Sus scrofa: one gene and its partners. The main gene of each other region encodes a partner of the protein of the gene in region 3 in a complex. Links are inferred from orthologs where the notes say so. Each region holds a gene or a part of one and is shown on either strand. Other genes may lie near its edges.

The links.
Region 1: TOX4 (region 3) and PPP1CA share a complex: the UniProt entries of both Homo sapiens proteins name them as parts of the PNUTS-PP1 phosphatase complex. The link is inferred for Sus scrofa from reciprocal best matches to the Homo sapiens genes TOX4 and PPP1CA.
Region 2: TOX4 (region 3) and WDR82 share a complex: the UniProt entries of both Homo sapiens proteins name them as parts of the PNUTS-PP1 phosphatase complex. The link is inferred for Sus scrofa from reciprocal best matches to the Homo sapiens genes TOX4 and WDR82.

What each region holds. Positions count from the first base shown.
Region 1 is NC_010444.4:5,118,790-5,122,536, reverse strand, and holds the start of PPP1CA (serine/threonine-protein phosphatase PP1-alpha catalytic subunit), read right to left. Parts: upstream 2,336-3,747; 5' UTR 2,301-2,335; coding exon 2,246-2,300; intron 1,750-2,245; coding exon 1,618-1,749; intron 1,487-1,617; coding exon 1,256-1,486; intron 658-1,255; coding exon 553-657; intron 162-552; coding exon 1-161. UniProt on the Homo sapiens protein: Protein phosphatase that associates with over 200 regulatory proteins to form highly specific holoenzymes which dephosphorylate hundreds of biological targets.
Region 2 is NC_010455.5:34,409,442-34,413,188, forward strand, and holds the start of WDR82 (WD repeat-containing protein 82), read right to left. Parts: upstream 2,750-3,747; 5' UTR 2,427-2,749; coding exon 2,266-2,426; intron 1-2,265. UniProt on the Homo sapiens protein: Regulatory component of the SET1/COMPASS complex implicated in the tethering of this complex to transcriptional start sites of active genes.
Region 3 is NC_010449.5:77,688,935-77,692,581, reverse strand, and holds part of TOX4 (TOX high mobility group box family member 4), read left to right. Parts: intron 1-2,996; coding exon 2,997-3,239; intron 3,240-3,647. UniProt on the Homo sapiens protein: Transcription factor that modulates cell fate reprogramming from the somatic state to the pluripotent and neuronal fate. In liver, controls the expression of hormone-regulated gluconeogenic genes such as G6PC1 and PCK1.

The DNA.
Region 1 (3,747 bases), on a different chromosome or scaffold from region 3:
TCCAAAGGTAAAGGAGACGCCGCGGTCATTCTCGCCCCAGCCCTGCACGTCCTTGTCGGGGTCAGACCACAGCAGGTCACACAGTAAGCCCTGGTCAGGCACGTCTGTGGGCCGCATGATACGCCGAATCTGCTCCATGGACTGCAGGTCGGGGGACAGGCCTGGGGAGCACAGGAGGTAGATCACTTCCTTGAGCCTCAAAACGAGGCCCCTGCCTCCTCCGGGAAGCCTTGCCGATCAGCCTCTGTCCCCACCCCTCCGTGGTCTCCTGGGAGCCATGACAGGCAGACCTCGCCACCTTCTGCCTCTCGTAGCCCCTGTTTCTTCAAGGAGCACAGGGCTCCTTGGAGAAAGGAGACAAACTCCACGTGTGAAGCTGTGGCCACGACCTGACAGCACAGCCTGACATGAGGGTGCGGGGGGACTTCATGGAAGAAACGACTCGGGGGAGAACTGTTGCAGCTGATGCCTTTGTCCCCAAGCCCCCCGGGATGGGGCCAGGCTCGTCCCTCCCAAGCACTCCTCCAGCGCGGGCCCCAGAGCTGCTCTCACCTCCGTGGCAGCAAAAGATCTTCTCGTCCACAATGGCAGCGATAGGCAGGCAGTTGAAGCAGTCAGTGAAGGTTTTCCACAGCTTGATGTTGTAGCGTCTCTTGCCTGCCCAGAGGAAGGAGGTGGCTCGTGAGAAGGCCTGGCTGCCCCACCTTCAGCCGGGGTCCCTGGGCCTTGCAGGGCACATCATGTGCTGTTCAGACACAGCTGGGAGGGAAGCAGAGAGGGCAAGGAAGGGAAACCCATCCCACTGCCTACCAGCTTTCCAGGAACCCCAGCATTCCAGTTCTGGAACAACCTCAGGGTTGGCACCCACCTGCAGCACATGAGCAGGGCCAGGCCAAGACCAGGTCTGTTTATCTCTGCTTCTGGCAAACAGAGTCCAGTCCAGACAGGCAGCCTAAGTGCTTAAGTAACGGATGCGCTGGAGGGGAGTGTCACTGGGCAAGGCCCTTATTAGAATACGGGCAGCCCTGCAGCCAGCACCCATTCACCAGATCCCTCCTGAGTGCCAGGACCCATGCCAGGAGGGCAGGTGGAGAGACCTGAACTGGCCTGGCCCGGCCCTGCCTTCACGGAGCTCAGTCTAGCAGGTATTTGTCAGACACTGATACCCCAGCTGCCAGGCCAACTCGAGGGTCCCTCTGAATGGCCAGGAGAGCCCTTTAGGACCCGGGCAGCCCCAGACACCCATGGCACTTACACTCATCGTAGAAGCCATAGATGCGGTTGATGCTGGCACACTCGTGGTTCCCACGGAGCAGGAAGAAGTTCTCCGGGTACTTGATCTTATAGGCCAGCAGCAGGCAGATGGTCTCCAAAGACTGCTTGCCCCGGTCCACGTAGTCCCCCAGGAACAGGTAGTTGCTCTCTGGAGGGAAGCCGCCGTACTCGAACAGCCGCAGAAGGTCATAGTACTGGCCGTGGATGTCACCTGGGACCCAGGGAACCAGGTCAGGTCTAGGTTCAGTCTAAACCTGAACCCAGGGATAAGGCTGGGATCCAGGGACTTTAGAGGGGCCAAAACCACTTCCAGGAAGCAAAGGGGCTGGGCAGGGGGCTCACCGCAGATCTTGAGGGGTGCCTCCAGCTCCAGAAGGATGGGCTGGCTCAGGAAAATCTCCCGGGATTTGAGGCACAGACCACGGATCTCGTTCTCTGTCAGCTGTACATTCTTTCCAGGCCGCGAGCCCTGCACTGAGGGTGGAAGGAGCGTCAGGACCCTGGTCCCTGAGACTAGGAGAGGGTGGGTGACACACAGGCCCTCATGAGCACTTCTGGGGCGCCTGGGCCCCTCCTTGCCCAGAGGCAGCTGTTGCTGCTGAGCCTCCTGGGACCGGACCCCAACTACCCTCAAGGCACTTGGGAGGGGACTGCTGTGCGCAGGGGCCCTACCACCCAAAGCCTGATAGCGCAGGACCCCTTCCCGGGTGGCTAGGCTTCTCGGGTTTCTCCCTCACCCCAAGAGCCCAGGCCGACCCATGCGCCCCGGCCCTGTTCCAGCGCGGGGAACAACCCCAGACCTCCAGGCGCGCCGCGATTTGGCGGGGAGAGCCACGGCCACGGGACCTCGCGGCCCGTCCCCGCCCAGTCTAAGCTGGCCCTGGGAGGGGCAGGTCCACCCGCGCGCCACTTCCGGGCCGGGAAGGGGGCCAGGGCGCGGCGGGCGCCCACCTCCCCCGCCCCGGCCAACCTTCCAGCAGGCGCCCGATGATAGAGTCCAGGTTGAGCTTCTCGCTGTCGGACATGGCGGCGCCGCCGCTCTGGCCCAGCAGCTCCGGGCCCGCTCCTGCCTCCCACCCTCCCGCTGCCTCCTTCCGGCCTGGCTCTCCTTCCGCCCGGCCCGGCCCGGCCCGCCCCGGCCCGCCGCCCCGCCTCCTCGGCCGCCCGCTCCGCCCCTCGTCGCCCCGCCCCGCCCCGCCCCGTCCGCTGCCCCAGCGCTCTAGCGCCTCCGCCGGACGCCGGGCGCAGAGGCCCAAGCGGCCCGGGGGGCGGGGCCTCAGTCACGGGGCGGGACTCGGACGGAACGCCCATCTCTGGGGCGGAGCCTCTTGGTGGGCGGGGCTTCGAGGGGCGAGGTCGAGTCTAGTTCTGCCTATGAGAAGTTGGCCACCCCTTTCCAGAGAATATGGGACAGGAAGTGCTGTGGAAGTTGTTTTTCTCTTTTAAGGGCTACGCAGTCCTTCTCACCTCCGCCCTGGGCGGGAAGTTGGTGTGAGCTCATCGGTAACTCATTGGGTCTCCCCAAATACTGCCGATCAAGTCCTTGAAGTGCACAGAGATAGCAAAGGGTTGGTCCAAGACCTGGACCTAATTCAAGGGCCTCTACCTCCGGAGTCTCTGTGGCCCCCAGGTGACTGACCAGACCTAGAAACCTGTCACTAAACTCCAAGCCCATTTTGGTCCACAGTGCCTGTGATGCAAGCTGAATTAGCGGTTAATTTTTTTTTTCTTTCTCAGCTGCACGTGGAAGTTCCTGGGCCAGGGACTGAATCCAGGCTGGAGCTGCGACCTATGCCACAGATGCAGCAATGCTGAACCAGCGCCTCTACAGAGACAAGCCATACCACTAATCCGCTGCACCACAGAAAGAACTCCTATCTATGTATTTATTTATTTATTGTCTTTTTGTCCTTTTTAGGACCACACCCACGGCATATGGAGGTTCCCAGGCCAGGAGTCCAATCAGAGCTACAGCTGCCAGCCTACACCACAGCCATAGCAACACCAGATCCTTAACCCACTGAGCGAGGCCAGGGATCAAACCTGAAACTCCATGGTTCCTAGTCCGATTCGTTTCCACTGTACCACGATGGGGAACTCCCTGTTTTTTTTTTTTTTTTTTTATGTTTTATCATTGCCTTTTGAGTAGCATAATTAAGCTACATTGTGCGCATGTGAAAAATGTTATTTCGTGAAGAGCAAACATTCAATAAACCGTAATTCTCAGAGTTCCCATTGTGGCGCAGCGGAAATGAATCCAACTAGGAATCATGAGGTTGCGGGTTTGATCCCTGGCTTTGCTCAGTGGGTTAAGGATCCGGCGCTGCCGTGAGCGGTGGTGTTGGTCACAGACACAGCTCAGATCTGGCGTTGCTGTGGCTATGGCGTAGGCTGGGGGCTAGAGCTCCGATTAGACTCCTAGCCTGGGAACCTCCATATGCCGAGGGTGCGGCCCTAAAAAGACAAAAAAAT
Region 2 (3,747 bases), on a different chromosome or scaffold from region 3:
TATGATATTGATATTATGCTTTCCAATAAAACATTACTTTTCTTCCTAAGGGCCAGAGAATTGATCTAATCTACGTCATACACCTACCTGGTCACAAAGCAAAACTAGAACCCAGGTCTCTTATCAAGCCACTCTCTTACCACAGACCACATGAAACAGGTCACAATTAATCCATACAACTTTTAAAGAGCATACTGTATACTACTGTATAAATACCAAATTCCCTAATTTGGATAACTGTACTCTGGTTACCTAAGAAAATGTTCTTGTGCTTAGTAAATTCATGTTGAAGTGTTGAGGGATAAAGAGCCTTAATACCTCCATATTACTGATGATTCAGACAAAAATGCATATATAGACACACACATATAAACAAACATTCACATGGATAATGACAAAACAAATGGGGCAAAATGTAACCAATTATTGGATCAAGTGGGAGGTCTCTGAAACAATATGGTAACTTTTCTGTAAGTTTGTAATTATGTAAAATGCTACCTGAATGAATGAACTGTATTATTTATAAAATTAACATTTTACTTTTAACAAGACAACACTTCAAGTCGATGTCATTTCTACAACCAATCAGTGGAAAATATGCCATATTTGGAGACATACTGTGAAGAAATGCTATCACCATCTTCATTTCCTTTAAATGAGGTAGGTATACATCTCTATCTCCAGGTTCCAAGGAGAGGTTCTAATCTGTGCACAAGCACTAAACATTTCAAGCAAGTCAACTTCAAATTACTTCCAGCTCCAGGACTCCAAAACTCCAATCCCCAGCTTTATAGGTTACTCTCTCTTCCAGGCTGCTGTAAGTGGCCAGATTTGGACAGAAATGAGTAACATTGACTTGAATCACTCAGCATCGGTCCAGCTAACAATAACAACCCTTTTCTCAGAACCACCACTATAGGACCCTCTTCCACATACTTCAGGCAGATCCTGAAGCCAGTAACATAAGACTTTTTCACAATACCAGCAGGAAAGTTATAAGGGGGAGAAATTATAGCTCAGCGCCATACAGCTTTAATTCACAAGTGAAGAAACAAGTTCCAAAAATTTATAGAAGACATCAGTTTAAACAAAAATAAAAAAGACAAAAGGAACAGAGAAAAACTCAAGGATTCAAAAAATAAGATCTGGAACTAGATAGCAAAATGAAGTCTGAGAAAACCAGTAGCCTGCTTTAAAACCAAACATCCACAAGCCTGCTTGGGGAAGATGGCTGAAGGGAAATCAAATTTAGCCTACCTAAACCAGCTTCTACTCCAAAGGAACTCACAATTTAGCAAGGACTACATGCGTGAGGCAAAGCGGACAGGTGCACAGGGAAAAAAGCAAAATGCGGTGCTTTCAAGATTTTGCAGAGATACAGGTGTGATGAGTCTCCAGAGGACTTGGGACAACCTACAAATGTCATGGTCTAACTAGGAATTTTGCTAAGTCCAAGTAGACCATAAAGTGTAACTTTAAAAGAAAGTGTTAAGAGGAAACATGAAATTGTTAGACGATGCTTTCTTTGTTCTACTGGGAGGTTCACATTCAGGTCAGGACTGGACCGCCAAGTTTGTACGTGTCTGGCAAAAAGGAAAAGTTTCAGATGTTGTTAAAAAGTTAACTATAAACGTAGGCTTCGGCACTGAGGGAGTAAGAGAACTATTTGGAACAGAAAGGAAAAGAAAGAGGGCCCAAAGAGGCACAACAAATAAATCCTGACAGCTAACAACTGCAACCCACGCGGCCTTCAGGCAGAAAGGCGGCGGGAAGCTGAGGGGCAGGGGATGGGCGGAGTGCCAGGCCTGAATCGAGGTCACCATGGAAAGGGCAGAGAGAGGGAGCTGCCGCTGCTGAATGAGGCAGCAGAGCAACCTCTGCAGTTCCGCGCGGGGGCCACAGCAAACCGGCACCTTCGAGGGAGTCGGAGGGGCGGAAAAGCTACCAGCTGAGGCCGCGGTGGGCGGACCGGGCGTTTAAAGGTCAAGGTCAAGGTGGGGTTCGGCCAGCGCTGCAAAAGCGCTCGCTGAGAAGGTCGGGGGCGGGGAAAATAAATACGATTATTATTATTATTATTGCTATCCTTATTTTCTAAAGAAAGAAAAAGGTCTCCTGGACAGTTTCGGAGTGGACGCGGTCCTGGCAGGAGCGTGTGCAAAACAGGCAGGGGGCCGGGCGGAGGGCGGGCCTCCGGACTAGCACTGGGCCTAGACGGGGATGGCGGGAGGGACTCAGACCCGAGCCCAAGGCCACCGCCGCACTCACTTGCCCTCCTGGCAGTCATAGAGCACGATGGAGTCGTCGTCGCTGCTCGAGATGACTGTCTCGCCGTTAGGGCTGAAGTCGAAGCAGTTAATCTTGTCCGAGTTCTCGCGGAACACCTTGGCGACGCGGAAGCTCCGCAACACGCTGTCGGTCAGCTTCATGGCGGCGGCTGCTAGAGGCGGCGGCGCAAGGCCGGGGCGGGGCCCGGCGGGCGGGCGGGCTGCCGAGGGGCCGACCGGGGCAGGACCGGCGCTGCGCTGGCGGCCAGAGGGAGTGCGGGCGACAGTCGGGCCACCTACTCCTCTTCCTCCGCCTTCTCGGGCAACACTCTTCTGTCTGAACTGTGGAGCCTTGCCGACCGTTCCCCCTCACAATCACCTCAGGACCAACAAGCGCGGCACCGGCTCATTGTGTCCGCCATCTTGGGGCGACAGGCAGAAGCCGAGGGCGAGGAGCCTCACCGCGGCGCAAGACGGGAAAGGGGGCGGGGCGAGAACGGCGGCGCGAGGCGAGGCGGTGACGTCAGCGCGGCCGGCAGAGAGAGTGGTGTGGCTGGGTGGCTGGGTGGCGGGGTGGCCGGAGGCGACGGTTCCCGGAACTGCTGCTGGGCGGGATGGGTGGGGACTCCCAAGTCCTTCCCACCGGAGCCCCAAGGTCTCTGGTGCCCGTGAGGCAAGAGCCTTTGTGCTGAATCGCAACCCGCCGCCGACACTGGGGCGCCCCCTGTAGGCCTCCCCCACCAAAGGGCGAGTGAGAGCAAATACTGCCCCTTGGGCTATCCCCCAGGAGGCTTGTTCTTGTTTTCGTGGGTTTTTGGTTTTTTGTTTTTTTTTGTCTTTTTAGGGCCACACCCGGGGCGTATGGAAGGTCCCAGGCTAGGGGTTGAATCAGAGCTACAGCTCCCGGCCTGCACCACAGCTACAGCAACACCAGATGCGAGCCACTCTGTGACCTACACTATAGCTCAGGGCATTGTGGGATCCTTACTCCACTGAGAGAGGCCAGGGATTGAACCAGCAACCTCATGGTTCGTAGTCGGATTAGTCAACCACTGAGCCACGAGGGGAACTCCCGTTCTTTTTAAATTGAGGTGTACTACACGGTAGACTGCATAATTTTTTTTTTTTTTTTTTGTCTTTTGTCTTTTGTCCTTTTAGGGCCACACCCATGCCAATGGAGGTTCCCAGGCTACGGGTCTAATCAGAGCTGTAGCCTCCGGCCTACGCCACAGCCACAGCAATGCCAGATCCAAGCTGAGTCTGTGACCTACACCAGAGCTCGCGGCAATATCGGATCCTTAACCCAATGAGCAAGGCCAGGGATCGAACCCGCATGGTTCCTAGTCGGATTCGTTTCCGCTGCACCACGACGGGAACTCCTAGACTGCATAAATTTTGTGGATGAATTTTTTTCATTTGGCTGAATTTTTTTTTCATTTGGCTATACATTAATGTGATCATCACCCAGGACTTTTCTTCAAAC
Region 3 (3,647 bases):
GTTCCCATCATGACTCAGTGGTAGTATCCATGAGGATGCAGGTTCAATCCTTGGCCTTGCTCAGTGGGTTAAGGATCTGGCATTGCCCATGAGCTGTAGCAGCTGCAGCTTTGACTTGCCCCCAAGCCTGGGAACCTCCATATGCCATGAGTGTGGCCCTAAAAAGACAAATAAATAAAAAGATAAACAAACAAACTGTAATTCCCAAACTGCTTCCTCTCTAGGAGAGAAGGAAACAAAAGCTAAGTGGGAAGGTAGCAGCATCATGTTCCTGTTTTCTTCTTCTGTGTTCAAATCATTTATTTTTACTTTAATATTTCCTAGTTTTTCTTTATTTTATATTTGACAGTCTAGAGTATGATTTAGTTATGTAGTAAATCCACTAAAAGTAACTTCATTATTGGATTTTACCCATGATCTTACAGATTATTTGTGGTAAAAGATTTGGAGTAGATCTCCATTCTAGCATGTGGCTTATTACCCTTCTGTTTTTTGTTTTTTTTTTTTTTTTTTTTTTCTATTTTGGCCACTCGCACAGTATATGGAAGTTCCCTGGCCAGGGAACAAATCCAAGCCACAGTGCAACCTATGCCACAGCTGCAGCAACACCAGATCCTTAACTCACTGTGCCAGGGCAGGGATAGAATCTGCACCACCTCAGAGACAACACCAGATTCTTAACTTGCTGCTTCACAGTGGGAACTCCCTTCTGTATTCTTGATCCCTGTCATTATTTTACTCTTCTTTTTTAAGAAAAAGAAACAAACGAGTTCCCGTCATGGCTCAGCGGTTAACGAATCTGACTAGCACCCATTGCACTTTGAGTACGCAAGTTCAATCCCTGGCCTTGCTAGTGCATTAAGGATCCGGCCTTGCCAAGAGCTGTGGTGTAGGTTGCAGATGTGGCTCGGATCCTGTGTTGCTGTGGATGTGGTGTAGGCCAGCAGCTACAGCTCCAATTTGACCCCTAACCTGGGAACCTCCATATGCCACAGGTGCAGCCCTAAAAAGAAAAAAAAAAGAATCAAACAAAATCCCCCCCCAAAAAATGCCCATAAATAATGCCTTGTTAATTTGATACAATGGAATTAACTCCAGATGTTTTATGAAGGCTAGCTAGCCCTTTGTTGAACAATCCTCTCTTGTTTTGTATGTGAGTTTTTTTCAGTTCTCATAAACAAATAGTATCATTCTCATATCTCAGCAGAGTTGCTTTTTTATTTATTGTGGTAAGCAGAAAAGGATAGTTATCTTTTGCTTTACCAAAGCAACCTGTATCTTCTTAAAAACTGTAAACCACTATTATACAAGTTTTAATCTAGAACAATAAATATTTCCCCAGATCCTTTCTCTTGTTCCTGTAACTTTGTTTGTTTGCATGAGAATTTGGTAAAAATCTTTGTACTCCCTTCCTGAAAAATGCTGACATAAACTTAAAGGAAATTTCAGAAAGAGTCATGGACCTGAAGTTAAGAACTTCCACATAATAACAAAAATTATGAGCTGTGTACTGAGAAAAGTTAAGTTCTTGGGGAGAGTTTTAGTTTTTCTTCAAGAATTGTCTGCTCTTATGCTCTTTATGTTCCCCTCTTGTTATAGCCCAAATTTTTAACATGATGAGTAAGATAGTAAGGCTCTTAGAGGAGGAAAATAAAGAAATGAAGCTATATCCGTATATTTTTTTCTTCTAGGAGACTTGTTTCCCAATGTGATTCAGAGAAGTTGGGCATTTCATAGACATTCTTTCTCCCTAGTTTTACTAGCTGGAAATACTCCGTCTAGAAAAATTTATTTATTTATTTTTGGTCTTTTTAGGGCTGCATCCACGGCATAGGGAGATTCCCAGGCTAGGGGTCAAATTGGAGCTGTAGCCGCTGGCCTGTACCACAGCCACAACAAGGCCAGATCCTTAACCCACTGAGCGAGGCAAGGGATCAAACCTGCGTCCTCATGAATACTAGTCAGATTCATTTCCGCTGAGCCATGATGGGAACTCCTAGAAACACTTAAAATAGCGATATTGGAATTCTCTTGAGATAGAGCAGATTAAGGATTCAGTGTTGTCATTGTAGTGGCTTGGGTCGCTGCTGAGGTTCGAGTTCTATCCCTGGCCCATGAGTTTCCATATGCCGTGGATGCAGGCCCCCCCCCCAAAAAAAAGAACATAGCATTTATTATTATTTTAGGCCAGACGTATGTCTCTTAGCTCCATGAATGGTGGCCTCATTCAGGATAGAGAGGATATTAAATTGTACTTAGACTTAGAGGAAGGGATTGGGTCTTCCAGCTGGAGTAATCTCTTTTTTTCTTCCTCTCTTGCAGAAAGGCTTGTTCAGAGCAAGACTAGGAATGTGTTTGGGAACAGTTAGAGAACCGGTTTGCCTTCTGGCTGTATCTCTTACGAATGTTTTTCTCACTATTATCCTTACCTTGGCATTGTTGGGTTTTCCGAAAATCTTGTACAAATGGGAGTTTTATTTGTTGTTGACATCATGATTTCTAAAATGGAGAAGAGGTAGGAGATTCTTAAGTGTATATCTTTTAGAGGGGCGTAAGTTTCCCATGACGGTACCTTTTAGGATCTGTTTCAAAGAAACCTAGAGCAACAAACTATAATTGTGTGGTTGACAGTTTGTGTGATGACACAGTACATTTGAAATACCTGCTGTCTATTAGAATCTTTAGAGAGATTTAAGCATCATAGCTAAACAGGTTATAAAGGGTAGGTCCTTACAATCAACATGGTGAAGGTAGAAAAGAGATAAAAGAATTGAAAACTGTGATTGATGTTGGCAGCCTTGTATGTACCAACCATATAAAGAAGAGGAGAGACTTATTTGTAAAAATAAATAAGTCCTAAGAAACTGATAACAAAAATAGGATCTAGGCTGAAAAGAGGTTTGCTGACAATCTCCAGTGCTCGGCCATGTTCTTAACTTAGCAGTATGCAGTCTCTCCTCTTCCCACTAAGTCTTTTTCTCTTCTCCTCCCTGCAGACGTTCCATACACCAAGCTTAGGCGATGAGGAGTTTGAAATCCCACCCATCTCCTTGGATTCTGATCCCTCACTGGCTGTCTCGGATGTGGTTGGACACTTTGATGACCTGGCAGACCCTTCCTCCTCTCAGGATGGCAGCTTTTCAGCCCAATATGGGGTCCAGACATTGGACATGCCTGTGGGCATGACCCATGGCTTGATGGAGCAGGGCGGGGGGCTCCTGAGTGGGGGCTTGACCATGGTAAGGGGCAAGACGTTATCAGGCTTACCCACGCTCATATTAAGGCCTGATGTAAGGGAGGATATAAATGACACTCTGTTCCCCACTACATTCAGGATATTACTTATTTCTCATTCTTCTGGCTCAGGCTCACCAACAAAGATTTCATTTCTCCTGAATAAATGAGATTTATCATCTGAATCAATTTTACTTGAAAAATTTTTTAAATTATAAAATGTCCAGTGTTAACCCTGAAATGAAAATGATTTATTGGGATTTTTGAAAGAAAAAAAAGTTTTTTCCCCCTACTATTACGGTTTTCACATCCTAGGATTCAAATGTGAGAGTGAGTGGCCTTGGTGATAGTGGTGAGCATAGCTGCCTTGCAAATGTAAGTGTGATAGCTGCCATGTTAAGGGATGGATTCAA